Linked DNA regions of Pelodiscus sinensis. The protein of the gene in region 1 interacts with the protein of each later gene in a pairwise test. Links are inferred from orthologs where the notes say so. Each region holds a gene or a part of one and is shown in the gene's direction. Other genes may lie near its edges.

Region 1 (6,820 bases):
ACAGTACATGCATTTCTCTCTATGATTATGTATTCTTATAATAGGCTAGACAAATAATTTTCAATACTTAGCACATGTATAGCATTTGACATTTGGAAAGGAGTGAATACACTTGGGAAAATTTGATCCTGGTGTAAATTGGCACTACTGTACTGACTTACCTGGAATTCTCTGTTTACATTAGGACTGAATATGGCCCATTTATTCTCTCAAACCCTCTGTGAACCAGATATGATTATGTTCCTTTTACAATTAAATAAATTAAGAGGTTATGATGTTCTCAAGCAAGTCCATTGCAGAGGCAGAATTATATTGTAGGCATTGTGCATGTGCCTAAAAGCCAGCCTCTACTACAGTAAATGTGGCTAAATTTAATATTTGAGAATACAGACAAAGCAATATTCCAGGCAGTCTCTTTAGTGAACTGTATTCCACACTAGATGTAATCTGAGAAATGCTATCAGGAAAGAGTTGGTTTATCTAGTATATTCTCCTGGACACCCAAATTAAATGGAGATTCCATAGGAAATTATTTTTGGGACCTGAAATTAAACAGCTTATTTTTTGCTTACAAAACCTGAATATATTGCAGCCATTAGACTTTAATTCTGATTTTGTCATTGATATAGCAATATTAGTGTTCATGAAGTAACTAAAAATAAACATAAAAAGAAATAATACAAAGTGTTACATTGGAAGTCTGTCCAAACTGAACAGAAATTACAGTACAGTATTTTAAAAGGCTGAAACTTTTCTTTGGATAAAATAATACATTTAGCATACATTGCCACAACAGAGGCAGGAGTCTCTAGTCCAGATGCTTCTTGATCTAAGATTCCTAAATGAAGCAGTGAAGTATTGAAAAGGACACTTGCAGTGTTCTGGACTCAAATTATATTTAAAGATGGACTATATGCCCCCAGGAGATTTGGTAAGAGGCTACAGACTCCTTTGTCTATAGGTTGCTGGAGAAAATCCTGCCTAAGTTAGTAGCAATCATATATCATTACTTCATGATGACTTTCTAGTGGCCTGTGTGAAACAAGCTGGTACTGGTCTCAGCCCTCAGCTCCCCTCGCCCCCAGACTTTTTATGGGACAGCTCTCCATGTAACAAACACTTCCTGTTAGCCTCAGCATTGATACCAGTTAATTGAATAGATATAGAAACTGAAAATACCCTCATCTTGGTTCATCTGGCACTGATGCCATTGTTGTGGGGAATCCTGTATTACTGCTAGCTCTTCTTGGGGGGTGAGGGGGGTTAAATAGAAAACTTCAGTTTTCAGTTAATTAAATCCTGCTCCTTTCACTCTAAATTCATTTAAAAGGGCACTATATCCACAAATTTGATCCCAAATTAGATTTTCTAAAATCAAGTTTCTATAAACGTTGGCCCAACTGGAACATTTCTGCTTATTTGAAAAACAACTTTTAAAAACAAACTAGATATTCCCTGTCAGGGCTTGCAAACTATTGTAGCCCAGAGAACTTGACAAGGAAATGGACATAATTGGTTTTTACTAAGTGAGGGTATGTCTACACTAGCTCCCAAGTTCGAACTAGGGTGGCAAATGTAGGCATTCGAACTTACAAATGAAGCCCGGGATTTAAATATCCCGGGCTTCATTTGCATGTTCCCGGGTGAGCGCCATTTTTAAATCCCCTTAGTTCGAACGGACTGCCTGCGGCTACACACAGCAGTCAGAAGTTAATCCGAACTAAATCCTTAGTTCGGATTAACTGTTACTCCTCCTGCAATGAGGTGTAACAGTTAATCCAAACTAAGGACTTAGTTTGGATTAACTTCTGACTGCCACGTGTAGCCGCGGGCAGTCAGTTCGAACTAAGGGGATTTAAAAATGGCGTTCGCCCAGGAACATGCAAATGAAGCCCGGGATATTTAAATCCCGGGCTTCATTTGCAAGTTCGAATGCCTACATTAGCCACCCTATTTCAAACTAGGGGGCTAGTGTAGACATACCCTGAGGCTACGTCTACACTGGCCCCTATTACGGAATAGGCATGCTAATGTAGCACTTTGGAAAAGGCAAATGTGCGGGGGATTTAAATATCCCCCACGGCATTTGCATTTTCATGGCCGCCGCTTTTTTCCGGCTTGGAGATAAGCCAGAGAAAAGCATCCAGACTGGCGCGATCCTCCGGAATAAAGCCCTATTCCGGAGGATCTCTTATTCCCGCTTGCAAGTAGGAATAAGAGATCCTCCGGAATAGGGCTTTATTCCGGAGGATCGCGCCAGTCTGGACACTTTTCTCCGGCTTATCTCCAACCCGGAAAAAAGCGGCTGCCATGAAAATGCAAATGCCGCAGGGGATATTTAAATCCCCCGCGCATTTGCCTTTTCCAAAGTGCTACATTAGCATGCCTATTCCGTAATAGGGGCCAGTGTAGATGTAGCCTGTGAGAGGTGCCAAAAGCAAAATGGCAAAAATACTCTAAACAGAGTATTCTAAGGCTATGGTAATATTAGCGATATTGTGTATGCACAGTAATATAGATAGAGAAATGTTATGGGGGTTACATTCTGATTTAGATGGAAGTTTTTCTAGAATGTCTTTTGAAAAATCTAAATCAGCATTATGTCATTTGTAGTCAATGTAGTCTAGTGGCACAGTTAGCATACACTTATTTTATAAATACTGTATATTGTGCATTTAATACTTTATCTCAGGGTTTTTCTTCATTCTAAAGACAATTTTATATCATTTATTTGTTAGGTAGTGTCTAAATCATTAAGCCCACAAGGTGGTGCAATTCTATTTTATTCCTGATTACCATTCTGCTAGAAAATGCAAACCTTATTGTAAGTGTACAGAGGCATCAGTTTCTGTACTCTAGAACAAGTACAGGGAATTATACATCAGGCTTTTGGATAATTTGCATATGGATCATGGCTTATAATATGTGTTGTCCCCTTTTTGGTTTGCCTGTATTGGTTCTTCCCTCCCACAGCAAATCCTTTTAGTGTCTGCACAGTAACTTGTATCTAGGGCAAGGCGACAGTAGAGGATACATTTTAGCAGCAGCTGCTTCAACATCCAGTAGATAGCGCTACTAATCAAGATGACTTTTTAGAGTGAAAGAAAGCAACAGGGATTTCTGGAGAAATGGGTTCAAGTGCATGAAGTACACTGATTTGGATACTTAGTAAAATGAAACTCTTGATAGTTTTCAGGGCGAGTGAGTGCGTGGAATATACAGTGAGTTCATAATCTACAAACTGTGTCAACTTTTTAGTTTCTATTAAAACTATTGAACAGTTACATTTGAGGAAATAGATACATATCTAATGGGCTGTTTTTAATTAATTACAAAAGCAGGCTCTGCATTACCTTTTCCAAGTTTGTATTGAAATACTGGATGCTTACTTGCAAACTGTGCATGTGTAATTTTCTGAAATGTATTGTGTATGAAAGATTAAAACAAAGAACTATAATAAAGTATTTAACTATTTAATGATCGCGTGCTCAAAATGCCTGGCATTCAATTGCACTCCAGAAGCGTGTGCAAATGGAGACATTCATCTGCAGAGGCAGATTGGACGATAGGAGAGTAATGCAATTGTCCTCTCTTGCCCTCCACCCCAGCAGCAAATCCCCACCCCAGTGGCAGGTGGACAGTGTTGCTATGAAGAAAAAGAATCAATTGTTTGAACTCCAAACTGCCACACGCCAGACCTCCACTATTGTGCGCTTTCTATTGAAATGCAAAGTAGCAGCGTGTGCCATCCACAATCTGCTCCACACAACGACTCATTATTTATGCAGGGCTTGTGCCCTCATTTTGGTAAAGTTTGCAAGAACATTTCTGCAGCCATCTACGGAGCTAGTAAGTTTGCAAAGCAAAGATAACTAGTTAGCTGGGATAGGAACACAAAACATGCAACACAAAAGATGCAAACTTAGGGAGCGAGATATACAATGACCCACGTGTAAATGTAGGGTGTATTTGTAATGCAAAACACTCTCTTCACCGTTTACTTCTTTTTGCGATATCTGCCTTAGTTATTTTTTAGTGTTCTCTAAATGAACCGGTAAGAGTTGCATTAGTCTATGTAATATTTTAGTGCATTTTGCATCGTTTTTATTAAGGATGCAATGACACCAGACAACTCAACGTAATGTATTCCCCTTTTATTACTTTTTTTTTTTTACAATTAAATCTGCAGTCTGCCTGGCAACAAAATATAACAAAAGCAGCAGCAGACTGAAGGCAATGTAATCCCCCGCCCCCCCTTACCCCTCGCCACTACCCCTCCACGTGGCCTCCTGGCACGAGCCGGCCCAGCCTACCTCCTGATTATCATAATAATACTCCCTTAGGCTGGCCAATGAGGGCTGCAGAGACTCCGCCAGCTGCCGGCCCCGCAGCCAGGCTGCTTATAAATACGGCCGCCGCCGCCAGCTCGCTCCATTCTCGCTGGGGACAAGAGCAGAGCAAGTTGGAGGGAAGCGGATCGGGGGGATCTTAGCGCCGAGCCGCCCCGCGTGGATACGGATACAGCGTGTGAGACGCGACATGACTCTGGAGGAGATTCACGGACAGGAGCCAGTGGCCGAGAGCAGCGACAGGTGCGTGGCCGCCGGAGCGTGCGGCGGGCCCCGGGACTGAGCCCCGGTGGAGAGGGTGGTGGCGGGGCTCGGAGATGCCGGCCGGGGCGCGGGCGCGTGCAGGGGGTAGCCCGGAGGGGAGGCTGACCTGGGGGTCTCGCGCTGGACCCGGGACTGAGCCGCCTCCCCGTTGTGTGTTGCAGGATGCAGGGCGCGGGCAAAGCCCTCCACGAGCTGCTGGTGTCGGCGCAGCGGCGCGGTGGCCTCACCGCCGGGGTGTACGAGTCCGCCAAGCTGATGAACGTGTGAGTATCCGAGCTGTGTGTGGCTGGCTGGGGATGAGGGAGGGTGCTAGAGGCGGCCCGGCGGGGGCTGCTGGGGCTGTACCACTCTCTGTCCCCGGGCTGACAGCTGCTCTGTCCCCACAGTGATCCCGACAAGGTGGCGTTCTGTGTGCTGGCAGCGGCCGAGGAGGACGAGGGGGACATTGCCCTGCAGATCCACTTCACCCTCATCCAGGCCTTCTGCTGCGACAACGACATCGACATTGTGCGCCTGCATGACATCCCAAAGCTGGCCGACATTGTGGGGGCCAGCGAAGAGTCGGGCGAGCCCCGTGACCTGCACTGCATCCTCATCACGGTGAGTGCCCTCTGCCAGGCCTGCGGGCAGCCCGGACCTGCCCCGCTGCAGCTGCCCCTGCTGCCACAGGGACTTAAGATGTCCAAATGCCATGCCCCCTGGAGTCTCAGAGCATGGCTGGTACAGGGACTGATTGCTGATCTTCAGCTAAGACCACACGTTTCCCTGCCACCCCAGTGCCAACGGTGCCTTGTTTCTAGGCAAGAGATACCTGCTCATTTAAAGAGACTAGTCCTGCTTTCTGTGCTAGCCCCTTCACCAAACCTTTCCCCAAAGTACCTATCTCTTGGCATTCTAGCTTGGTAATACCAACTCATGAAGTGTTTTGGGTTTTTTTTGTCCTTGTTTATCACAGAATCCAGATGAGGATGCTTGGAAAGACCCTGCGCTGGAAAAGCTCAACTTGTTTTGTGAGGAAAGCCGGCATGTCAATGATTGGGTGCCCACTATCACCCTGCCTGAGTGATGAAGATTCATTGCACTGGAGAGGTTGAAACCTTTGTTGCATTCTCGTCATGGTGTTGCACGCCTGGGTGAACCAACACATTGCTGATTCTGTGGATTAGCCTGGTCAAGAGATCGGATTAAGTCGCTCAGACTGGCAAGCAGTGGGCTCTTGTGGAGAAGGAAGATGTGAGGGAGGAAGGGGATGTCTCATGCCAGGAGTGAGTCCCTACTACCTTGCAGTAGTGGAATGGCTGGCGTGCCAAGGAGCTGAATGAGTATTGCAAGTTTCCAGGAGCTGAAGAAATATTGCAAGTTTTCAGGTCAAGTGGAAGTTTAAGAAAGCTGGACAGAAGGTTGGGAAATTGGACAAAAATAACTTGGAAAGACTGGACAAAATATTGTAACTAGGAACTGTTGGCACTACAAAACTTTAAGAGGAAAACACTTTGATGGTCTGTTAGAGATTTGTTACTGTGACAATATACAAAGACTTTTCTGCAAAGACTCTTATGCAGACACAATTTATCAAAGGCCTTTGGGCTGTTTAGAAAACATTGGTTTACTAATGCAATAATACTCTTTATGCTGCTATGAAAGCTCTAATGTTTATAATAAACTTTTTAATATAAATAACTCTTGTGTTTTGCTTACTGTGTGGGGAAAACCTCATTGTCCTTTTTAAAGTTCAGAACTTGCGTTTTCTTTCATATCCCTGTGCTCCTATGAAGTGCTATAATCAACTAGACCATGGTAATGTGCCCTTACTTGAAAATACTTATTTTTATTTCTGAGGGATATAGCCATGCTTTCTAGTCACTGATAATTTGACCTTTCACTCCTTTGCAACAGCTGCTGATTTCAACAGCTTGCAATGCGAGGAGCTGCATGCTTAATGAGCTGAGTTATTGTAGTAGGCAGCCTTTGTAGTCCATTAGAGGCATACCACACGTGTTCCAAGATAATTTAAGTTTCATACCTCTGGGTTTTTAAAATACAAAAGATTTAGTTACAATTTAAAATGCCAGTAATAACTGGAATCCATCAAAAAAGTTACTAGCTGGCAGTAGCCATGCCTGAGTTTTACAGAAACAAAATATAATGAAAGCCTACATGCCCTTCAGATTTCAGGTGCATTTCACACTTTTAGACTACAAGTAAAT
Region 2 (7,945 bases), on another chromosome or scaffold:
AACAAGAGAGGATTGCTTTAATGAGCTGGCAAAATAAAAAGTGCAAAGAAATGTACAAGGACGTCATTATTAACCAGGGCCAGCCCACAACATTTTGGCACCTAAGGTGGGGAGCTCAAATGATGCCCCCTTGCCACCTTTTCTCCTGCCTGTCTGTTATGTCTCTTGTGCCCTCCTTTCTCCAGCACATCACTCCACCATCTCTGTGCATCTAGAGCAGAGAGAATACATATGCACCAGCAGCAGACACAATTTTCTACACTCTGGGTACTAGTGGTGTCCCCTGCCCCCCACAGTCTGGCACCTGAGGCAGCTGCCTCAGTTCACCGCATGGTAAGGCCAGTCCTGTTATTAACCCCTTGCATACTGGCCACTGCCCTCTATCCTCCTACTGTAGCTACTACCAGCCCCTTGTCAGCGGCATGATAGATCTCATCTTTCACTTACATGTCTCAAATAGCTTAGGCTATGTCTACACTACGGGGCTTTTCCAGGAAATTCTCTGCTGTGTCCAGGGAATGTGTCTTCTCTTCCACTTTTTTTTGTGGAAGAGCAGACGCACTCTTTTGGAAGCCTTGTCTTCCTCTTTCCATGAGGAAGAAGGACTCTTCAGAAAGAGGAGGTTTTTCCAAAATTTGGCCCAGTATAGACGGGCCAAATTTTGGAAAAGCCTCTTCCGAAAAAACTACTGGAAAAAGGTACGCAAATTGTGGAATGCAATTTGTGTACCTTTTTCTGATAGATCAGTGTAGTCTAGACATAGCCTCAGCTGCACTCAGCCTGGTTCTTTGCCAAAGCCAATCTCTGGTGAGCTCCAGGATGTGCTTTCTCTAGGGATTAGGGAGCCCTCTACTGGCTGGGTGTTGAACACACAGTGCCCTTCTCTGGCTAGTGATAGAGATGTAGCCGTGTTAGTCTGGGGTAGCTGAAGCAAAATGCAGGACAATGTAGCACTTTAAAGACTAACAAGATGGTTTATTAGATGATGAGCTTTCGTGGGCCAGACCCACTTCCTCAGATCAAATAGTGGAAGAAAGTAGTCACAACCATATATACCAAAGGATACAATTAAAAAAATGAACAAATATGAAAAGGACAAATCACATTGCAGAACAGGAGGGGGATGCGGGGGGGGGGGGGGGGGGAGGAAGGAAGGTAAGTGTCTGTGAATTGATATCATGTGCCGAAAGTGTCCGTCTGCTATGTACATTGGACAAACATCTCAGACACTTCGCCAAAGGATTAATGCCCACAAAACAGATATCAGACAAGATCACAAAGAGAAAACAGTTTCTTGCTATTTTAACCAGAAAGGACACTCTCTCAATGACTTAACCACCTGCATTCTGCTACAAAGACCTTTTACATCTGCACTTGAAAGGGAATCCTCTGAACTGTCATTTATGTTAAAATTCGACACTTTCCAAAAAGGACTCAACAAACATTTGAACTATCTCACCCATTACCAAGATAGTTTCCCCAATTATCACCTCTAATACCATTAACTCACAAACATCCCACTCTCCCTACCTCTAATATCATCAATTCACAGACACTTACCTTCCTTCCTCCTCCCCCCTGCATCCACCTCCTGTTCTGCAATGTGATTTGTCCTTTTCATATTTGTTCATTTTTTTAATTGTATCCTTTGGTATATATGGTTGTGACTACTTTCTTCCACTATTTGATCTGAGGAAGTGGGTCTGGCCCACGAAAGCTCATCATCTAATAAACCATCTTGTTAGTCTTTAGAGTGCTACATTGTCCTGCATTTTGCTTCTCTGGCTAGAGCCTCTCCCTCCAGCTCAGCTGGTCTGGAAGGAAGAAACCCAGTTACTGAGCCAGCACTAGAGTGAACATATTTCCCAAAAGGGAAAATGGGACATCACACCACATAGGTCTGGTCTGAGCCACTCGTCTGAGCTTCCCTCCCCATACAGAGGTCAGGCAGGGTTCAGACAAGCAGTAATCCACAAACTAGAGAGGGTGACCATATTTCCCAAAGGCTGGGATTGGTGTTGCTCACTCAAGTCATGATTGTCCCCACAGGAGCCCTGATTTCCATGGGACTGGACAGGCATTATAGCTCACCCTCTCTCCCCCACACCTCATTTTTTGTGTGCGTGACAAAGGTGGACATTTGTCCTGTTTGCTCTTGGCAACTGATCAAGCTGGCAAAAGCAAACAGGGCAAAGGCTCACTTTTACCCAAAAAAATCAGGATGGCTGGACAGGGCTTAAAAAACAGACTCTCTCAGCCAAATCAGGACATATGGTTACCCTAGCCAGCACGTTCATTACACTAGGAGCAAGGGAGTGGAATGGAATGGAGAAAAAGAGAGACATAGAGAGATGGGGAAAGCACCAAACAGAGAGAGGCCAATTAAGGCCCTGGGCCAGAGCAAGTGGGGGTCCCCTCCCCATCCCTTCTACCTATGGTCCTGCCCCACTACACACCTTTGCCTGCAGCCCTGCCCTGCCCATAGGACCACTTTATTCAGCTCCTTCCCCCACAGCCTTCCCTCTGCTCTACCCACAGTCCTGCCTCATTTTGAACCCCTGCATTGCGGCCTCACAATCTGTTTGCTCCTTTCTGCCCCACCTTGTGACTCCAATACCAGAGACGCTTCTGTCCCCTCACTATCGCCCTGGGGCTATGGTGGAGACTTAGAGCCCCCCTAGTTCTGAGGCCGAGGCAGGGTGTTAGAGCTCTTTCAGTCCTGGGGCTGCAGTGGGGTCTGGGTGCTGGGGCTTTCCCTGCCACTCTGGGCTTCTGAGGGAGACAAGGTTTGGGGACCTTGTTTCTCCTGTTCCACTCAGCACTTTTGCTGGGGAGCAAGATCAGGGTGCAGGGGCTTCTCTAGGCCTGCTGATGCTTCTGCCAGGGTTTCAGGCTTCTGTTGCCCCATAAAAGGATTCTGCTGGAGTGGGACATCAATTTTTCTAGGGTCACCCAATTGGCCAGGGCACTCCTTCTGCCCATTGGATCATCCACTGCTGATGGTAAAGGAGTAAGGAGCATGGGTGACTGAAGGGACTGGGGTTTAGGAAAGGTCAGAGCCAAGAGCAAATCAAGAGTAAATGGGAGAAGGCAGAGTCTATGGCATTGTCAGGCCAGAGTGCTGTGAACATTTCTGATTTCACTCCTCAGAGCTTGTCCTTCTTGCGGATAGCCCACATGATTAGGGCAATGTGAGCAACTTGGGGCTCAGTGTCCATAGAGATGTCTTCAGAGTTTCCTTTAGTAATAGAGATAACAAGGACCCAGATGGGCTTTTCCTCCCTCCCCAATTGCTTCTGCTCTGCACCAGGTTCCTGCCAGGGACAGGCCTTTTCTCCTGGGTCTGATTGTCTTTAGAATCCACTCCTTCTCCCTCAGTCCATTGGCCACCTGGTGGCCTAGAGGGGTCCCTCAGAGGTGATTCTCTTGCCAGTCCAGTCTAGGGTACCTAACGGGGAATGTCACACTCCCCTGCTCTGCTAGACCTGGGCTATGTCTGGATAATGTTTATGATAAGAAGTATTTTCCTGTATTATAGAGCTAATGTCCAGCCAGACTCTGTCCACAGGAAATCACATTGGTGTAAATTGGTAAATTTTACCCTAAACAAAGATCAAATTGTTCTGGATAGATATCAATAGTTAGGCTAGGGTGTACAGTTACTATATGTGAAAGTTGCGTGATACCAATTTTTTCTCATAGATCACACACTTACACTAATTGCAATATGGAACAAGTTCAAGGGAAGTAGCCAGTGCCATAAACCAGTGTTAACTAAAATCCCTGACAATGCAGCAGGAAAATAAACAGGGTTAGTGTTTCTATCTATGTTAGTTGTCTGAGATGGAACTGCACACAGAGTCAAAGGTAGTGGGTGTACTGTGAATCAACATAGTGGCATTACGATACTATCTTATTTGTGGATTATTCATCGCCTTTGACTTGGCAGCTATCTTTGTCAAATGTTGGCACCCTGTAAGGCTCTGATCCAGTACCATTCTTTCTGAGATACTTTGGAAAATTCTCAGGCCTTAGTCTGGTATCACTGAAGGTGACATACAGGCACTTCTCTGCATAGTTATTGGTTGCTCATGCACAACACAGACAAATGTTATTTGACAGTGTGGTTGGAGTTACCATAACTAATAGTATCAGAGGGGTAGCCTCTGGAAATTTCCACTACATGCATCTGACAAAGTGGGTCTTTGCCCACAAAAGCTTATGCTCCTACACTTCAGTTAGTCTGTAAGGTGCCACAGGACTCCTCGTTGCCATAACTAATAGCTTTCTAGAACTTTTTGAGAAGATGCATTTCATGAGTCCTCGTGCATTTTTACTCTTGCTTCCCCCTGGAGTTTTTGTATTTTTTAATCTGGTGGCAATTGTGGAAAAAAGAAAAGTATTTTTTGCAAAAGCAGAGACATTGTTTTGAGAAATTGATTTAAAAATGTTAAAAGTGAAACATTTTAATACGTGGAATTAGATTTTGTATTAAGAACTAAAAGGTTGGAAAGCGAGAATTTGGGATCTAATTTCTCCCCTGCCGGCTAGGAAGGAAAATCTGAGACTTGAACTTTGAGCTGCTGGCTTTTCGTTCCGAGAGGCTGGGGCTCGCGAAAGGCATCGGGTGGGTCACCACGTTCCCAGTAAAGAACTACATTTCCCACAATACACCGGTTTCACGGGTACGTAGTTAGGGTCCTTCAGTGGGGGTACTTTAGCCGTTTGAGGAATGCCTGTGTGGAAGCAAGACTAGTTTCCTTGACCTAACCCCTTCGCGGACAGAAATGCCGACTCCTTCCCCCTACGGTGACGTCTCCATTCTCACCACTTCCCGCTTTATGACCGCATTGAGGGGTTGGCTCCCGCAAGTTGAGGGCTATTGTCAGGCGCTTGCGATAATCACCTGACGGGGTCCTAACGGAAGGGGCGCTCAGGCGGGGCGGCTCAGACTGGAGGCGCTGGTGGCGGCGGTTGGCGGGGCCCAGGAGTGTGTGTGCGCGCGTGAGAGAGAGGGGCGGGGCGTCACCTCCCCCCCCCACCCAGCAGGGAACATGAGCGGCAAAGAAGGTGACGCTGGGGTCGCGCTTGGCGGCGCCAGAGCACGTCGCTGCTGCGCCCGGGGGCGGGGAGGGCCCGGCGGGTTCCCCGGCCGCGATCGGTGACCTTCCCCTCCCCCCCCCCCCCTCGCTGCTCGCCGGCCCCTGGAAGGTTCCACCCCCCCGGGTTCGCGCTGGCGGGTGGCTCCGCGGGAGGGACTCCCCCGCTCCCGAGCTGTGGCTAGAGCCGGGCCCCAGTGCTGCCCCGGCCGGGGCGCAGCGAGGCGCCGGAACGTCTTGCGCCGCCGCTTTTTCGCGCGTAGAATGACTGGGGTACAGTTTGCTTGCAACAGTTATAAATGTGATTACACTGGTATCGCTTATGGGGGCACTAAGCCATAGTGGAGCAAATGCATCATCGTTCCTAGGGATTGTAGCAGCACACTTATACCAGGAAAAAATCCCACCCTTTAACTGGCCCAGGCCCTGGGCTGCCCGAGGGCTACTCAGCTATGGAGGCCACAGTGATACTCACAGAACAAGCCTAGGGCCGCATCTTAAGTGTGGTTGCATATACAGGCAGTCCCCGGGTTACCTACAAGACAGGGACTGTAGGTTTGTTCTTAAGTTGAATTTGTAGGTAAGTCGGAAATGGTGTCCAGATTCAGCCGCTGTTGAAACTGACCAGCAGCGGCTGAATCGGACACGCCTGGGGCAGAGCAGCTGGGGTGCTGCTGGGTTGGTCCAGTAGTGCCGAGGACCAACCCAGCAGCACCCCAGCTGCTATACCCCAGGTGTTCCCAAGTCAGCTGCTGCTGAAACTGACCAGTGGCTGACTACAGGACTTCTTGGAATCAGCCTCTGATCTGTTTCAACAGCTGCTGAATCTGGACTGGGACAGAGCAACAGGGGCGCTGCCGGGTAGGTCACCGCAGCGCCGCACCTCGGCGCTGCGGGGACCAATTGGGCAGCAGCCCAGCTGCTCTACCCCAGGTGTCCCCAAGTCAGCTGCTGTTGAAACTGATCAGCGGCTGATTCCAGGAAGCCCAGGGGGCAGAGCAGCTCTGTCTCCTGCTTCCTGTAGTCAGCCGGTGATCAGTTTCAGCAGTGGCTGGCTTGGGGACGCCTGGGGCAGAGCAGCTGGGGTGCTGCTGGATTGATCCAGTAGCGCCGCACCTTGGTGCTGTGGGACCAACCCGGCAGCCCCCCCAGCTGCTCTACTCCAGGCGTCAGCGAGAAAAGCCTGGTCTGCTGGGGGGGAGGGGGGACGCACTAGCTGCGCCCCCCTCCCCCCAGCAGACCAGGGAGACGCGGAGCGGCTTTTCTCGCCGCGGGAGTCTGTTGTTCCATGTCGGGTGGAGGCAGGGCTCCAAATGTGGCTAGTGTGAGTTAAGGATGTTAATAATTAGTCAACTATCCAATAAGCAAATGCTTATTGGCTAGTTGAGTAGTTGATTCCCCCACTTATTGCCCCCATCAGAGGCAGCAAGTGGGGGGGGGGGGAGAAGAGGGGATACTTCAAAATGGCAGCACCACAAGGAGCTGACCCCGGACTCCATGTGGTGCTGTCACTTTAAGGGGGTTCTTGTACACTTCAGAGGAGGAATGCAGAAGTACCTATCAACTAGTCAGTGGAAATTCCATCGACTGCTCGACTAGTATATTAACTGATATTTAACATCCTTAGTGTGAGCCAGTCAGTGCCTCTCAGGCTCTGCCCGCAAAGCTAAGCAGCCAGCACCTTCCACAATACCCCGCCGCTCTCTGCATCTCCTCCCTAGGGGCTAGAAATGCTGACACCCTGTATCCGTCTGTTCCAGCCAGCCTGTCTGCTTGCATCTTGAAATGTTCACCCTGCCTGAGAGATGCCTCTCTATTGTGGAGCATGTTCCTAGTGATGGCCATGTTCAAAGGATACCAACCGCAGGTTGCATGTTAAGCCCTGCATAAACCCAAACTGCACTGCGGGCTGCAAACAAACGGGCCGCGGGCCACATGCAGCCTGTGGGCCATGTGTTGAGTAGTCCTGTTCTATGTTATGGCGTGAGATTGATCTTGAAACTTCAGTTATGTGAATAGTGTAGCTGAAGTGAATGTTCTTAGGTCTACTTACCACATTATCGTGCATCAAAAGGAGACTCCCAATCGACTCCTCTTGTGCTCCCAGTTCTGATGGAGTACTGGAGTCGGCATTGGCAAGTGACTTATCATGTCTGATGCTATAAATTGACTCTTGCTGGATTGATTACTGCCTGTTGATCTGGCTGGTAGTGTAGACATGCCCACACTTATACAGATTTTGTACTCGTGTGTAGACCAGTGTTTAGAAGAGGGTGGTATTTAGTGCTGGTGACCTAACTTTTCATAGTTCATTGTGTTCCTACGTGCTCAGTTTGAGGCTCAGTATCCATACAGAGCATTTCCATTACCTCCCTAAAAACACTTCTGAAATGAATGCCATGACATCTGGTCAAAATGTTATTAAATTGGCGATCAATAATACTATTTGAATCTCACTTTTTTCCAATGTGTTTTATTTATAGGATCGGGTGGGTTCAGAAAACGAAAGCATGACAATTTCCCACATGGCCAAAGGAACGATGAAAAAGATAATGCTAATTCATCTTTGGTGGTGTCTTTTAAGTGTAAGTAAAAGTTGAAAGTTCAGACCGTGACCTTAACAATGTGTACAATAAAAGTTAGTGGAAATAAAATATTTAATGATGGAGTAAAATACAGTTGTCCATAGGCAAGATTGAAATCAGCAAAACATCCTTAAATCTGGAGCTTGATCTCTTGCTTTCTAAGCCAGCAGTGTGCCATGGTAGAGATGATGCGGTAATATTTTAGTTAGGGGAATGGTGAGACACAGCGCTTCTTGCTGATTACAAAGGATATGATTCTGT
Region 3 (7,148 bases), on another chromosome or scaffold:
TGTTGCAGTCTTAAATACAAGAGGTGGTGGAAAAGAGTCAAGTCCTTCCTGCCACAATAGTCACTGTCAATGTTCTAAAACTGGAACCTCCTCTCCCCCCCCCCCCCCCCCCACTGTTTACTCCTTCTGCATCTGCAGCCTAGGGTGCTGCTGAGATGGAAGAGTAAAACACCACCCTCGGTGACAAAGAGGAGGCTGCAGGACTCCAGGCATGACAGTCTGCACTGTACCCAAAGCCCCTCCTAGGGGAAGCCCTGTGATCATATAGGAGAGGGACAATGAGCCTGAGATTGTGCCTGAAGACTATCATGTCTCCAGCTCCCAAGTCCCATTCAGGAGATGCCCCTGTTTATCTCCCCTGGACTGTTTTCTGCAGCCATTCCCCCCTTGTGTGGGGAAGAGGGAAATCAAGGCCAAGAACACAAGGTCATAGTCGCTAAATCTGTATAAGTCTATATGACTACACATAGAGATTCAAGTAGTAGAGAGTAGAAGTATTGGAAACAAATTGTTACATATAAAATCACAGCACTCCCATTAACAAGATACTCTTAAGTCTAACCAAGTATTGCTCACCCCAAATCCTCACAATGCTTTACGGCCAGGTTGGCTATCACCCTTTTTTAGTGCTACAAGAATGAAGTCAGTTGCCTCGCAGCTTAAGGACCCCGTGTGTTTCATTGCATCCCAAGAGATACCATAACAATCTTGTGTCTTTACTTATAAACCCACACTCACATCATCAGCTGTATATTTCATCTTAAAAATGTCCTCTTGGGTATATTTCAGAATCTTCCATTCCACCCCTGGCTCAGTGTACATTGTGGAATACATTGTGAGGTATACATAAGAACATAAGAATGGCCGTACTGGGTCAGACCAAAGGTCCATCTAGCCCAGTATCCTGTCTACCGACAGTGGCCAGCACCAGGTGCCCCAGAGAGGCTGGACTGAAGACAATGATCAAGTGATTTGTCTCCTGCCATCCCTCTCCAGCCTCTGACAAACAGAGGCCAAGGACACCATTTTATCCCAAATGGCCAGACAGGAAGTTAGGTGTCTGTTAATTTCTGCCTGAAAGGAACATTTCTGAGTAAAATCATCTCCTGGTAACCTGCCTAGCTTTAAAATGTGCCTTACCTTTAAAACTGAAGAATATAATTTTCTGCATAAATACATAATTTCTTATATATTATCACTATATACATTTCACAATTATTATGATGACCAGTGGGCTAGTTACTCGTGGTAGAGAACTCACATACCACCCTTTGATGAAGTATCATGCACATAACCTAATTAGGGGATAAGTGTAAAAATCTATGCTTTTTGCCCTCTGCCAATTAGAACCAATGGTCACAGAAAAGAACTGTGGGGAATCAGTATGGGGTAACTGGGCAGTCAATTAGGGATGACTGGAAAATGAGGAGTCCATGAGGAGTAATTGGGGGATCAGTTGGGTGGGTTTCTACAGGCATGTTATCAATAAGAGGTTGATCAGAGAGGGTGTGGGGCTCTTACTGGATGAGGGAGGTAACCTAGTGATAGATGATGTGGGAAAAGCTGAAGTACTCAATGCTTTCTTTGCCTCTGTCTTCACAGACAAGGTCAGCTCCCAGACAAATACACTAGGCAACGCAGTATAGGGAGGAGGTGGACAACCCTTGGTGAGGAAAAAACAAGTTAGGAACTATTTAGAAAAGCTAAAACATACACAAATCCATGGACCCGGATTTAATGCATCCGAGGATATTGAGGGAGTTGGCAAATGTCATTGAGGAGCCTTTGGCCATTCTCTTTGAAAACTCGTGGAGATCGGGAGAGATCCCAGATGATTGGAAAAAGGCAAATGTAATGCCCATCTTTAAAAAAGGAAAGAATGACGATCCAGGGAACTACAGACCAGTCAGTCTTACCTCAGTTCCTGGAAAAATCATGGAGGGGATCCTCAAGGAATCCATTTTGAAGCACTTGGAAGAGGGGAAAGTGATCAGGAATAGTCAACATGGATTCACAAAGGGCAAGTCATGCCTGACCAATCTGATTAGCTTCTATAATGAGGTAACTGGCTCTGTGGATATGGGAAAGTCAGTGGATGTGATATACCTTGACTTTAGCAAAGCCTTTGATATGGTCTCCGACAACATTCTTGCCAGCAAATTAAGGGAATATGGATTGGATAAATGGGCTGTAAGATTGATAGAAAACTGGCTAGACTGTTGGGGCTAACAGGTAGTGCAATGGCTCGATGTCAGGTTGGCAGTCAGTTTCTAGCAGGGTGCCCCAAGGATCTGTTCTTGGACTGGTTTTGTTCAACATCTTTATTAATGACCTGGATGAGGGGATAGATTGCACCCTCAGCAAGTTTGCAGATGACACTAAGCTAGGAGGAGAGGTAGATACGCTGGAGGGCAGGGATAGGGTCCAGAGTGGCCTGGACAGATTAGAGGATTGGGCCAAAAGAAATCTGATGAGGTTCAACAAGGACAAGTGTAGAGTCCTGCACTTGGGATGGAAGAATCCCAAGCATTGTTACAGCCTGGGGACTGAATGGCTAAGTAGCAGTTCAGCAGAAAACGACCTGGGGATTACAGTGGGGATATCAGGAAAAACTATTTCACTAGGAGGCTGGTGAAGCACTGGAATGGGTTACCTAGGGAAGTGGTGGAATCTCTATCCCTAGAGGTTTTTAAGTCTCGGCTTGACAAAGACCTGGCTGGGTTGATTTAGTTGGGATCGGTCCTGCCTAGGGTAAGGCGCTGGACTTGATGACCTCCTGAGGTCACTTCCAGCTCTATGATTCTATGACTCAGGGTTAGTGGGGATGATGGGTGTTGGGGGTGAGAAAGTAGAAGATAACCGAGAGGGTCAGTTGGATGAAGAGTAGCGTGTCAGTGGAGCGGTTAGTAAGAGGTAACTAGGAAACAACTGGGGTAATAGGGAGTGGGGAGGTCAATGGGAAGGGCAGTAAGAGGTAACCGGGGGTCGTTGAGGTGACTGGAGAATGAAGGGGCCCATGTGGCCTTAGTGAGATTTAATTATAGGGGTTGGTGGAAAGAGATGAGGAGTAGGGATGATTTGGAAATTAAGAGTAATTGGGGATTAGTACTTGGGGGTGGGGGGCTAATAGAGGGCCAGTGAGAGGTGACTGGGGTGAGTTGGGGTGAGTGGAGGATAAAGGGCCAGGTGTGGGGCTGCAGACTGAAGGGATCATGGGGTGCCTGGGGAGGTTAGTGAGGATCCTTGGGGCAAGCTGAGGGTGATGGGATGTGGGGTGTCAATGGTGGGGAGTCAGGGAGTAGCTGGGAATCACACTCTGGGCTGCACATGCTGGGGAGCCTTAACACAACCATTGAATTCTTCTTTCCTAGAACAGGAAGTGAGTCTCATTTACCGGAAGTGTTTCCCACACGCCCGGAAGTGACCTTTCGTCGCGCCTGCGCGGACAAGCGAGCAGGCGGCCATTTCCGGCCGCTCTTCTGTGTTTTCGGCCCCGTGACCCGGAAGTGGCTGCACGGGCAGTTGCTCCCGATTGGCTCGGCGCGAAGGAGCGGGCCAGTAGGCTCGCGAGAGGCGCCCGCCGCCGGAAATACGTGTCCGCCTCCCGCGGGCCGGCTGCTGCCCCGCGAGCGGGGGCGTGAGGCGAGTCCGCGGGCAGCGCGCGCCGCCGCCCAGCACGGAGCCGCCGCGCGCGGGCAGGGCCCCGGACAGAGCCCCGCGGCGCCGCGGGCGGGGGGGCGCCTCCCGGGCCAGCGCCGCGCGCCATGTCCGGGCCGCCGCTGGGGGCGCCGCAGAGCTGCGAGGCCGGGCCCGGCAGCGGCGCGCAGTGGTGAGTACCCGGCCGGGCCGCTCGCAGGCCGCGCGGGGGCTCCTGGGCGCCGCGCCGCTTCCCCGCCCGGGGCCTCGCTGGCAGCAGCCGGGCGGGCTCTGGCGTCCCCGCGGGTGCGGAGCCGGCCCAGGAGGGAGTCGGGGCGGGGGGGGCTGAGCCTGCAGCCTGCGCTCCCTGCTCTGTCCAGTGCTGGAGGGGCACAGCCGAGCGCGTTGTGTGTGACACTGACACGCGCGCCCTGCTCACCCCGACCTGGTCACACACCAGAGCACGTTATTCCTCTGTAAAGCGTCACTGGGCTTTTGACTGGGCAGCTTTTTCCAATGGCAAGAATTTCTTCAGCAAAGGAAAACATCCCTAATTTTGGGAACCCATGTGTAGCTCCCTGCTCTAGGTCAGTCTTATGGGCAGTACATGCTCTCCCTCCTCCCCCTTGGCAAGGCTAGGCTCCTTCTCCCTTCTATTTGAGACTCTGCCATCCTTACAGCCGAAGCCCTGCCTCTGTTCTGGCAGTACCTGGCACAGCTCACCACCCTGGGTGTCCAGAAGAGCTTTGAGTCCTGCCATCGTGTGGTCCCAGGGCTGCAACAAGGAGTGAAAATGGAGATTTGAGGAGGCCAAGCCGTGTTACCTGATGCCCATTCAGATAAGAGTCCCTCACACTGAATGCTACTGCAGCGAGGAGTCCTGTGGCACCTTATAGACTAACCGAAGTGTTGGAGCATAAGCTTTCGTGGGCAAAGACCCGCTTGATCAGATGCATGTCGAATGCTACTGATAGTGATGATGTGACTTGCAGCCCTGGGTCCTGCAGGAAGTGCCACAGCTATGTGTAAACACATGAGTGAGGGAAACGTTTGTACAGTAAGCAATAGTGAGTTAGCCTACTACATTGTGATCTTCATGGGGAAAGTGGAAGGCTCTCATGAGTGGCTTAGTCCAGATCTTAAAAGTAGAACACATCCAGTGATTAGTACCACCCTTTAAAAAAATGCTACACCTCTTACATGTGTTTAATGTTGAAAACTATCTGATCATTACAGGATGGAAGGGATGACCAGGTCAATAGAAAAGGAATTGGAAAGGACATAGCAATAAGCTCATTTTATGGCAGAGAGACTACCAGAATAGGTCTATATCACTGTGTGGTTTCTCCCAATAAAATATATAGAAGGGTCTGTTCTTGTGCATAGGTCTATATCACTGTGTGGTTTCTCCCAATAAAATGTATAGAAGGGTCTGTTCTTATGCAAACAGAACTGGCCAATAGAGCAATGACTCTACAGGTACAATAAATCTCAATGGAGCAAAGATGTTTCTTCCATGGAGCATGAGTCAGAGCAAAACTTCCTCTTTTCACAGCTCTGAGGTTGAGTGGTCTTGCATTATATTTAATCTAGAGAAGGGCAGTTACTCATTCCCACTTTAACTTTTATGTCAGTACCCTCTTTGCAGGCAGGGTTAACCTTTTTAAGGGAGCAGGCCAAATCTAATCAGTGCAATGTATTAATTCTAATCTAAACAGTCATTAGAAATAGCTCATCACTGTTAATAACTAAGCTGGAACCATTAGCCTTAGTTTGTGTTCTAGGTAGCTCGCTTGTTAGAGAAGTGCATATTGTTTCAGCCATGTTAGGTCACCTCCTTCAGTGAGAAGAGGAGAGCTGCACTGAGTGGCATGCAGCTTCGAACCCTAGAGGTTACAGAAAGATCAGAGATGCGCTGGTCTACGTCCCTGTAATTGCAGTTCTACGTCCCTGTAATTGCAGTTCTGGCCTTCAGCTCTGTTGTCTGTCTTCCTCTCTCCCAAGAGGCAAATGAGGAAACTCAATGATGTTTAAAATACACACAAAAAAATGGAGAACACACTAGGCCCTATTGTATCAACAATTTCACTGAAAACAGTAAAGAGGAGCTGTCTTTCTCCGGTTCTGACTGTGTGAATCAAGACAGATTGTTTCCGATGGAGCAGGAGAAGTCTATTAAACAGATGAGTTCAGAACATGGTAAGCTGGAATGCACTTTTGAGTTGTGACTATTCTAAAAGAACATTCTTTCTCGAGTGCCAGAGCTTCAAACATTCAGAAGAGCAACCAGCTGTGAAAACAGAGCTTACTTATTGAATCTTGAGTCTGTAGAAAAAGCTTTACAGTCTGAATGATCCCTTGACTCTATTTGGGCTTAATCACGACTGAAATCTGAAGTTCTTCAGGCCCTCTGAAATTGAGAAACTAGATTGCTGCATAGTATGTAGACTAAAAATGGACATGGAATTGCAGCAATGGCTTCATAGAACTTTCTGATTTCTGAATCTCTCGAACATCTAATGCTTCATGAAGAACATCATGGGATTCCTGTGATTGGTGCAGCTGTGGTTCAGAAGTTAAGAATCATTCTGTTCTGGCAATGAACAACTCCTAAGCCTAATCCATGTTAAGGATTTCTTTATCAACTTTGTCACCAAGGAGCATAAAACTAATTCTACAAGTCTTGTGCACTCATCATTGGAAGACATTGTCATCCTACAATCCTGAAGAGCAAAAGGATTTGTTATGCTTCTGCTACAACTACCTGGTTAAAGCCAAAGCCCTGAGTCCTTTAAAGCAAGCTAGACCTAAATTCTGGAGCAAGATCCCTTGTTCTTGTAGCCTCTGCTGCAATTTCTGATTTTTTTTTATTTAGGTTATTGGTTTGATTGTCAAAAATAGGCAATTAATTTCCTTGTGCAGTTTGTTTTTTTATTTTACTCTGTCCACATGCTCCCAATTTACAATATGCATTTAGATTTCCAGCTTGAGGTTTCAGAGTTAACATCGGAAGAGAATGGAGCCTGTATCATGGTGTCTTCCCAAATTTGTAGCGAATTAGCTGTCCACTAGTGGGTTTATTTACATGAGATTCACAAAATGAACAATTTGATGACTGAGGTTAAAGGCACACTATTATAAGGTAGCTAAAAGAAAAGAGGGGAAGCTGTTATTGTACCTTCTCGCTTCATTGAGGTATCATGCAGGACTGAAAAGTCTTTTGCTTGTTTTGAATTTTTTCCTCTTCAGAGAGAAAGAGAATCATAATTTTGTTCTTTATCGTTCACATTAGAAATTCACGGCTTGCCTTTCATAATGGTTGCAAAGACTGAGTTGGTAAGACTATACTGGAGATGCCATTCTGGTAAACTCAGATTGAGGGGAATGTTACTTTTGTTCAAATGCAGGTAGGGGAGGGAAGTAACCTACTGAAGGAATATCTATTAACATCAATGAATAAACATTTTGGAGTACAGGTTCTTGAGGGTCCAACATCCTTCTCCTTCAGACAA
Region 4 (7,506 bases), on another chromosome or scaffold:
ACTGCTACAGCTATTGAATTTGTACATTATAATAATTGTTCTGATTTGTCATATCTTGTATTTTTAATAAAGTCATATCTTAAATGAAACCCACCTCCTAGGTTAAATATTGCAAATAAAACTCCTACTTTGTTGATGTGAGCATGTCTTCTTTCCTCCTCAGTAAGAACTACTTTGGCTATCAATTATAGAACTGATCTTAATGTTACGATACTATGTTTTGGACACAAACTTTAAAAGAGTGGTTCTCTTCTGAAAACTGAATGTATAGAAATGACATGATTCATTACAGCCACTCCTTGGATAGATGTCACTTACATACTAAAATAAGTTATTGCTTGTCACTTCTGTTATTGACTCTGCAAATACTAATGTAGCAGAGACACGAGCTGGGTCCTGTTCTTGCTTGTAAATTAACAACATTGTTTAACCTTGTTGTAACTGTAATAGCTTAGGTTGTTTCTGAATACCACACCAATCTTGGCTTTGATTTTAGGTAAAAGGGATATTTGTACAATGGATTTGATCTAGAGGTCAATGAGAAACAAATAGGGAAGTCCACAAAACCACTCTTGAAATTACTTTTCAGAGGAGAACTTAAGCAGTTGTGCCTAAAATACCTAATTCCATATTGAAATTTTGGAAAAAGCCACAGTAGTAAAATCGCAATATTAAGCATCTAATAGTGTCAGCAAAGATTCAACAGCTGGAAAGCAATTAGAGTTGGCAGTGGGTAAACAGGTTCCTACCAAAGAAAATGTTGAGATTTTAATTTATAAGTTTTAATTCTTGAGTGCAAGTAAAAACACTTCTGAGTCCAAGACTGCGGTCTTGAAACATAATTTAACTTTTTGGACAGACTCTTATAAGTCACAGGTATGGAACAAGTCCTGGCACTACCAAAGGGTTCTATTGCATTCTTACTCAGTTTACAGTTTGTATATTTATAGCATCTCTAATGGCTCAAGTTAACAATCTCACTGGGATTTAAGAATGTGCTATTTCCCTTTCACTGTCACTACTTTCCTAACATTTCAGAAGTATTCTGGTGAAGCCAGGCAAAAGTAAAACAGTTTATGTAGTTTTGAACATACATGCTCTTTTCATAGGATAACTTACTCTTTAACAATCTGATCTTTTTGACTTCATATAAATGAAGAGCAAGGTACTAAATTTATAAGTAGATCTGGCAAGGATCATGGGACAGGTAGACTCATTGGATTCCTATTGATCTCACATGTGGTACAGAAACCCACAAGTGCACTTTTCTTGGATTTGGACCTTGATTTCTATAATTTTGTAAATGGTATAAACTGAAATAGAAGCACACACATTCTCTGAAGACTTTTCTTAGCTTTGTTGGGTCAACAGTTGAAATATCCATGCCTTGAATCTTGGAATAATTTGGGAGTTGGGGAGGAGGATTTTTGTTTTACAAGAATGTGAATCTGACAACTATAATTGTGGAACACTGGAAATTCATTTACGTCTTGATATGTGATTAAAATTAATTTTGTTTACTTGAAACTCCTCTTGCACCAATTCTGTCTTACATTGTATATTTATACTTAAAAACTGGTCTGGTAACACTTTACAGACTAACAAAACCTGTAGATGGTATCATGAGCTTTTGTGGGTACAGGCCACTTCTTCAGATAACCAGAGTTTTGAGTTTAGGATGTGCAGACCCAAAATAAATAAGGGGGAAGGAAAAAAAGAAAGGTGGGGGAGGGTAGGAAACAAGGAGCAGAGATTATGAAAAAATCAAAGGGAAAAACAGGAAGGCAGAATAGGCAATCAGTAATTACCTGAAGATTGGATAGTTAAAATAAAGCAGATAAGGATCAAAGTCAGTAGGGGGGGATACTAACACAAAAATCTACCTAAAGAGCTGTTTGCACCTTCATTGAATGTTTGGTTGGTAATGGCCCAGCCATCCCTCGTCCCAATTGAGCCCATTAGCATGAGAACTGAACTTGCAGATGAACTGTAATTCCAAAACGTCTCTGTGTATTTCACTGGTAGAATAAATAGGCCTGAATACCTATGTCCTAACACCATTCAAACATGGAACTTTGTTTCTGGGTCAGTGGTGGACAATAATTTTGAGGGGGGAGCACACCTAAGAATTTGGTAAGTGGTCAAGGGCTGTACTCTTCCATGAGATTAACGAAAGAGGGGTAGAGTCTGCTATAGCGGTTGGGTACAGAAGAGAGCTCAAGGTAGGAAAATGGAGTGCAGAGTCCAGGAGCAAGGATGGGTACAAGAGAAAATTGTGATCTGGGACAAGGGTACAGAGGGTGGATTATGACCTGGGGCATTGAATTGGGATGTAGTAGAGGGGGGGGTGTCCAGTAGAGGTGCTAACTGACAGGCACTTACCTTAGGTGGCTCCAGGCCAGCAACCCACTGGGGGACTCTAGCAGGCTCCCTGCAGACCATGTCCCCACATGCCACTCAAAGCCCCTGGCTGTGGGGACAATATGCTCTTTGTAAGCTGTGCATCCTTTGGGAGACAGGGTGTTGCCTATGCCACAAGCATGGCCCAGGCAGCTCCCATTGGCTGGTTTGCAGCCAATGGGACCTGTGAGATTGTGCTGGGGGTGGGGACAGCATGCAAAGAGCACATGGCCCCCACAACCAGCTGCTGTGAGCAGTGTGCAGGGAAACAGCAGGCAGGGAGCCTCCCCAAGGCTCCCACTGAATTGTGAGACGGTGGCAGCCAGATGCGGTGGTTTGGTGGGCCAGGCTGTGGGCCGAATTTTGCCTGCCCTTGTTCTAGACCAGCGGTTCCCAACCTTTCGTAGCTGGGGACCCATTTTGACAATCAGGAAGACTTGGTGACCCAAGGCAATTAAAAAATGGAGGAGGACAGAGACACTTGGCAACCCTTTTGAAATGTAATGGAGACCCATATTTGGGTCCTGACCCATAGGCTGGGAAACCCTGTTCTAGACTGACCCCCTCAATTGTGTAATGCTCAACTCCAAATGGTATTTCTGTAAACTGTTATGGAAGAAGTGGTGTGATTATTCTAGGTGCTGCCACTATCTCAGCTCATGCATGTAGTGTGATACCATTTACTGATCTGTTAATCTAGTAGATACACTTCATTTACAGCAGGTTCTTTTTAGGGCAGTAATTGTATTAAAATGACAGTTTTCAAGTCTTGGATAAAACTGTACCTGAGTGGTGGCTTCTCTGATCCCTCTACAGTGTCCAATTATGTCTTCTCTATTACACAAAAAAAAAAAAAAAAAAGTTTGCATGAGAAAATGTTGGAAAAATCAATTGATCTTGATTGCATTGATATTATTGTTAGACTGTCATGAACTTAACTGTTTTCTTGTATCTCCAAGGCACAATTCATTTTCTCAAGAACAGAGAAGCAAACTGAAATGCTTGACAGGAGAAATGAAGACTTTTATTGGAATTGAAACACAGCTTGGGGGTGGGGAGAACCTCAGCAATGGGGAGTAGCATGTAATTTCTTCATTCATAAATCTAGCTGCAAGAAGTCACAAACCACCTTCTTCCATATCTTAAAAGGAAATGTCCATTTATGAGATGGTTGAACCTAGTAGCATAACTTTAAAAGGAGGGCAGAGTTGAAATGGTTTGTCATGTAATTAAAATATTTGGTATGTGGACCTGGCCACGTAAGGAGCTGGGCTACCGTAGCCCTACGCTTGCTATGGTTTAATGTGGTTCTCAACTTTTTTATTCTAACCTGCCCACCCCCCCACGTAGAGTTGCCAGATGAGTTCAACAAAACTACCGGACACATGTGACATTGCATCACAATCTACATTGCATCGGATTTAGAAAATACCCGACACTCCCATTGTCTCCGTGGCTGCGGCTAGATTGGCATGATTTTCCGGAAATGCTTTTAACAGAAAAGTTTTTCGTTAAAAGTATTTTCGGAACGGAGCGTCTAGACTGGCAGGGCACTTTTCCGCAAAAGCACTGTTTGTGGAAAGCGTCTTTGCCAATCTAGACGCGCTTTTCTGCAAAAAAGCCCCGGTCGCCATTTTCGCCATCGGGGCTTTTTTGTGGAAACCAAATCAAAGCTTTGCGCAAAGGGGCCTTTGCCGAAGGGAGCAGCCGGCATTCCCGCAGGAAGCCCCATTCAGACAGTGGGGAGTCCGTGCTCTTGCGGAAATCCAGGCGGCCGTGTAGGCAGCTGGCAGGTTTTCCGGAAAAGCGGCTCGTCTGGACACAGCCGGGTGTTAACCGGACCCTTGGGACACGGGCCTGCCGGTTCCACCCGGACCCCCCCCGCAGACACAAGCCAGGGCGCGTGCCCGGGGGGGGGGCGCTCCGGCTCCCTGCCCGCGGGGGAACAGCTGGCCTGGCGCCAAGGGCAGCGCTCGGGGCGGGGCTCCCTGCGGCCGGGCCCCGCCCCCCCGCGCCCCCCGCACTCCGCCCCGCCCCCACGGCCGCCTAGCCCCGCCCCTCCCCGCGTCCCCGCCTCACAGCCGCACGCCGCCCTCGTCCTTCCGGCTGCTGCAGACTCCCCCGGGGGGCGGGGTTTCCGGTTCCGCCCCTCCCGGAAGCGGCGCGCGGCAGGCGGCGGGCGGCTCGCGCCGGCATGGCCCGGAACACGCTCTCCTCGCGCTTCCGCCGCCTGGACATCGACGAGTACGACGAGAACAAGTTCGTGGAGGAGCCGGACGAGGCGGCGGCGGCGGAGCCGGACCCGGGCCCCGAGGTGGAGGCGCTGCTGAGGCAATATCCTTGCGGGCGGGGCCGCTCCCCCCCCGGCAATGGGCTCTCCTGGCCCAGGCTCGTGCGCCTGTGGGGCCCCTCCCCCCCCGAGACCCGTGCTCCTCCCCCCCTCCCCCGCAACGGGCTGGGCCCGGGGCTCGTGCGCCTGTGGGGGCCCCTCCCCCCCCGAGACCCGTGCTCCTCCCCCCTCCCCCGCAACGGGCTGGGCCCGGGGCTCGTGCGCTTGTGGGGGGGGGGCCCGCAATAGACTCGGCCCGAGGCCATTCCCCCCCCCCCCCCCCCCCCCCCCCCCCGCAATGGGCTCTCCTGGCCCAGGCTCGTGCTTCTGGGCATTTGAGTGAGTCACGAGGTGCCCGGGGCTGCTCGCTCGTTCTACTGTTCTGCGTGGCCCTGGGTTATATGGCAGGTCTGAACAGCCCTGGGCCTCGGCCGCAGTGTGGGCTTTGCTGGCTCCATGGACTCCCAGGGAGTGGGGTCTTGTGTTTCAAAACTTTGGGAAATGAATGTTTCACAGAGACTGATTGGACGAGGTTAAATAGCTCTGCGCAATTTGAAAATGTGTACAGTTGGAGAGGTATAAAGGGTATAATGTAACTGTTCTGCGGTATTCCATAATGCTCCTAGGTAGGGATGTGCCCAACTAGTCAACTATCCAATAAACAAATGCTTATCAGATAGTGGACACACTAGTGGATTAGTCATTCCCTTCTCCCCCTCCCCCTGTCAGAAAGAGGTGTGGGGGGGGAAGAGAGAGAGAGAATGGCAGGGGTGCTTCAAAGTGGCAGCACTGTGTGCAGCCTGGGGCAGTGCTACATGGAACCCAGGTTCAGCCGGGGACTGCCCTGCTGACCCTGGGCTCAATGTGGTGTTGCTGCTTTGAAATGCTGCGTGATGCCTGATGCTAGGCTCCCCATGGCATTTCAAAGCAGCAACGCTACATGGAGCCCAAGGTCTGACTCCAGTCTCCACGTGGCACTACTGTTTTGAAAAGCCATGGGGAGAATGGGGCCAGCGGGGCACTGCTTGAGTCCTCCACTGGACCCATGCTCCCCACAGTGCTTTTGCCTTTGAAGTGTAGCAATAGTCCTTGGGGTGTTGCTACACTTCAAAGGCAGATGCACCCTTATCAATTAATCAAATAGTCTATGCAAATTGCATTAACTATTCAATTAATGTCCCTACTCCTAGGTAGGACTCATTTATATTATAATTTACATTCTAACATCTGTTAAAGTGCTAAAAATGCGTGGATCCCTAAAATATTATCCAAATCCATCTCGCCTTTTCATCTGCCTTTTGTGGTCCAACTTAATGAGTTCTAATCACATCACACTCTTTTTACATGACAAATATTCATACTTTTCTCATTTGTATGTGCTATTTACAAAACCCAGAAAAGCAAGCAGCAAACATAAAAAATGAAAGCATGTCCCAGACTATGCTTTAATTTTGATTAAGATTGCTATCTCTTTGCTTATGGGGTTCTAATCAGATCCTGAAATCTGAAAAAACCTGAAGTACGATTGCAGGTACTACATTTGCATATTGCACCACCAACAGACCTACTAGTTTAGCAGCTTAAGAAAAGGGATTCTGTGGGACCTGATAATTTTTGTAGTGGTGGTTGTAATTTTTAGTTTATAGTGGATTGTTAAAAACATTGGAAGCAAATTTAGTTACCTAATACGGGTTGCAGACAGAAGTGGATAGAGAACCTTATATAGAAGGAGAATGTTCCATTGCCTCATCCCATTTCTGAAACAATTTTTCAAGTAGGACAGTATGTTTTGAAGTGAGTTAATTGAGCCAAACGGATATAAAAATGCTTAAAATAACTGTCATCAGCCACACTGGGACCTAACCCAGATTATTCCTTTTATTAAAATGCCTATATAGAAGATGAAAGCAAGAAAACGACTTGTTTTCAAATTAAGCCTACAGCAAGTATGTGTTTGTATGAGGTGAGCTGGATGGTCTCTGACTGGGAGTGATCTTCAGGAGAAATAGTAGTTTTAGTTTGTGCATCTTAGAAAATACCAGGTGGAGTTGTGCAGATCTCTCCAAGGTCACCTAGAGAAAAGCGCATGATAGCCTGGGTCTTCCACCTGCAAAAAGGGCACAAGCTTGCACCCATCACTAACGTACATCAATAGTGACTGCTTTACCACATGTGGAGAAGACAAGTTCATTCTCCCCATTCACTGCTTGACTTCTCTGCTCAGACTGTTAAAAAAATAATTGTGGTGGTGTCTGGGATGTGGGATTTGTCTTTATTAAGGATCTGGATTAAGCCTCACCAAATCATTTCAGATAGCTGCTCGGACCAATCAGACTTGGTTTCTAACAAAACTGGATTCCAGTCTGGCAGCGAAAGGTGATGGGCTCTGTTTCTCATTACCAATCCTCTGAACTCTCTTGTACCTATATTTTGTAGTTAAGATTCCTTTACTGTAAAAATTAAATTAGGTATCAGGCCAATAAATTATTCTGTTTGTATAATTTGATTAGTAACTAGTTTCAGTATGTGCTGACTCCTTTATATGGATCAGAATGCTTCCTGAGCAGAAGCTGACCCTTAAGTTGCATTCTCACCAAATAAGATAAAGTGCATCCTGGAAGACTTCTGAACAAGTGTTAGGAATGACTGGATTAACTACTTTATGGTGGGATTATTTTTGAAACCAAGTATGAAGTTGATAACATAGTTTTGGATTGGTATGTATTTCAGAAAGGAGCTCTGCTATTAAGGAAGTAATTAGTTCTTTACCGTCCTGC

Evidence for each region.
Region 2: the proteins of GADD45G (region 1) and TSNAX interact in binary tests that used the Homo sapiens proteins (3 or more experiments, as listed by UniProt). The two-hybrid records come from large-scale screens. The link is inferred for Pelodiscus sinensis from reciprocal best matches to the Homo sapiens genes GADD45G and TSNAX.
Region 3: the proteins of GADD45G (region 1) and LRIF1 interact in binary tests that used the Homo sapiens proteins (3 or more experiments, as listed by UniProt). The link is inferred for Pelodiscus sinensis from reciprocal best matches to the Homo sapiens genes GADD45G and LRIF1.
Region 4: the proteins of GADD45G (region 1) and ARPC5L interact in binary tests that used the Homo sapiens proteins (3 or more experiments, as listed by UniProt). The link is inferred for Pelodiscus sinensis from reciprocal best matches to the Homo sapiens genes GADD45G and ARPC5L.

What each region holds. Positions count from the first base shown.
Region 1 is NC_134716.1:47,518,853-47,525,672, forward strand, and holds GADD45G (growth arrest and DNA damage-inducible protein GADD45 gamma), read left to right. Parts: upstream 1-4,423; 5' UTR 4,424-4,539; coding exon 4,540-4,592; intron 4,593-4,774; coding exon 4,775-4,876; intron 4,877-4,999; coding exon 5,000-5,213; intron 5,214-5,568; coding exon 5,569-5,679; 3' UTR 5,680-6,293; downstream 6,294-6,820. UniProt on the Homo sapiens protein: Involved in the regulation of growth and apoptosis. Mediates activation of stress-responsive MTK1/MEKK4 MAPKKK.
Region 2 is NC_134713.1:123,989,559-123,997,503, forward strand, and holds the start of TSNAX (translin-associated protein X), read left to right. Parts: upstream 1-4,933; 5' UTR 4,934-5,054; coding exon 5,055-5,070; intron 5,071-5,248; exon of another isoform or gene 5,249-5,372; intron 5,373-7,582; coding exon 7,583-7,684; intron 7,685-7,945.
Region 3 is NC_134737.1:14,473,659-14,480,806, forward strand, and holds the start of LRIF1 (ligand-dependent nuclear receptor-interacting factor 1), read left to right. Parts: upstream 1-4,093; 5' UTR 4,094-4,152; coding exon 4,153-4,223; intron 4,224-7,148. UniProt on the Homo sapiens protein: Together with SMCHD1, involved in chromosome X inactivation in females by promoting the compaction of heterochromatin.
Region 4 is NC_134732.1:24,991,118-24,998,623, reverse strand, and holds the start of ARPC5L (actin-related protein 2/3 complex subunit 5-like protein), read left to right. Parts: upstream 1-4,506; 5' UTR 4,507-4,594; coding exon 4,595-4,735; intron 4,736-5,510; exon of another isoform or gene 5,511-6,797; coding exon of another isoform or gene 6,798-6,836; intron 6,837-7,506. UniProt on the Homo sapiens protein: May function as component of the Arp2/3 complex which is involved in regulation of actin polymerization and together with an activating nucleation-promoting factor (NPF) mediates the formation of branched actin networks.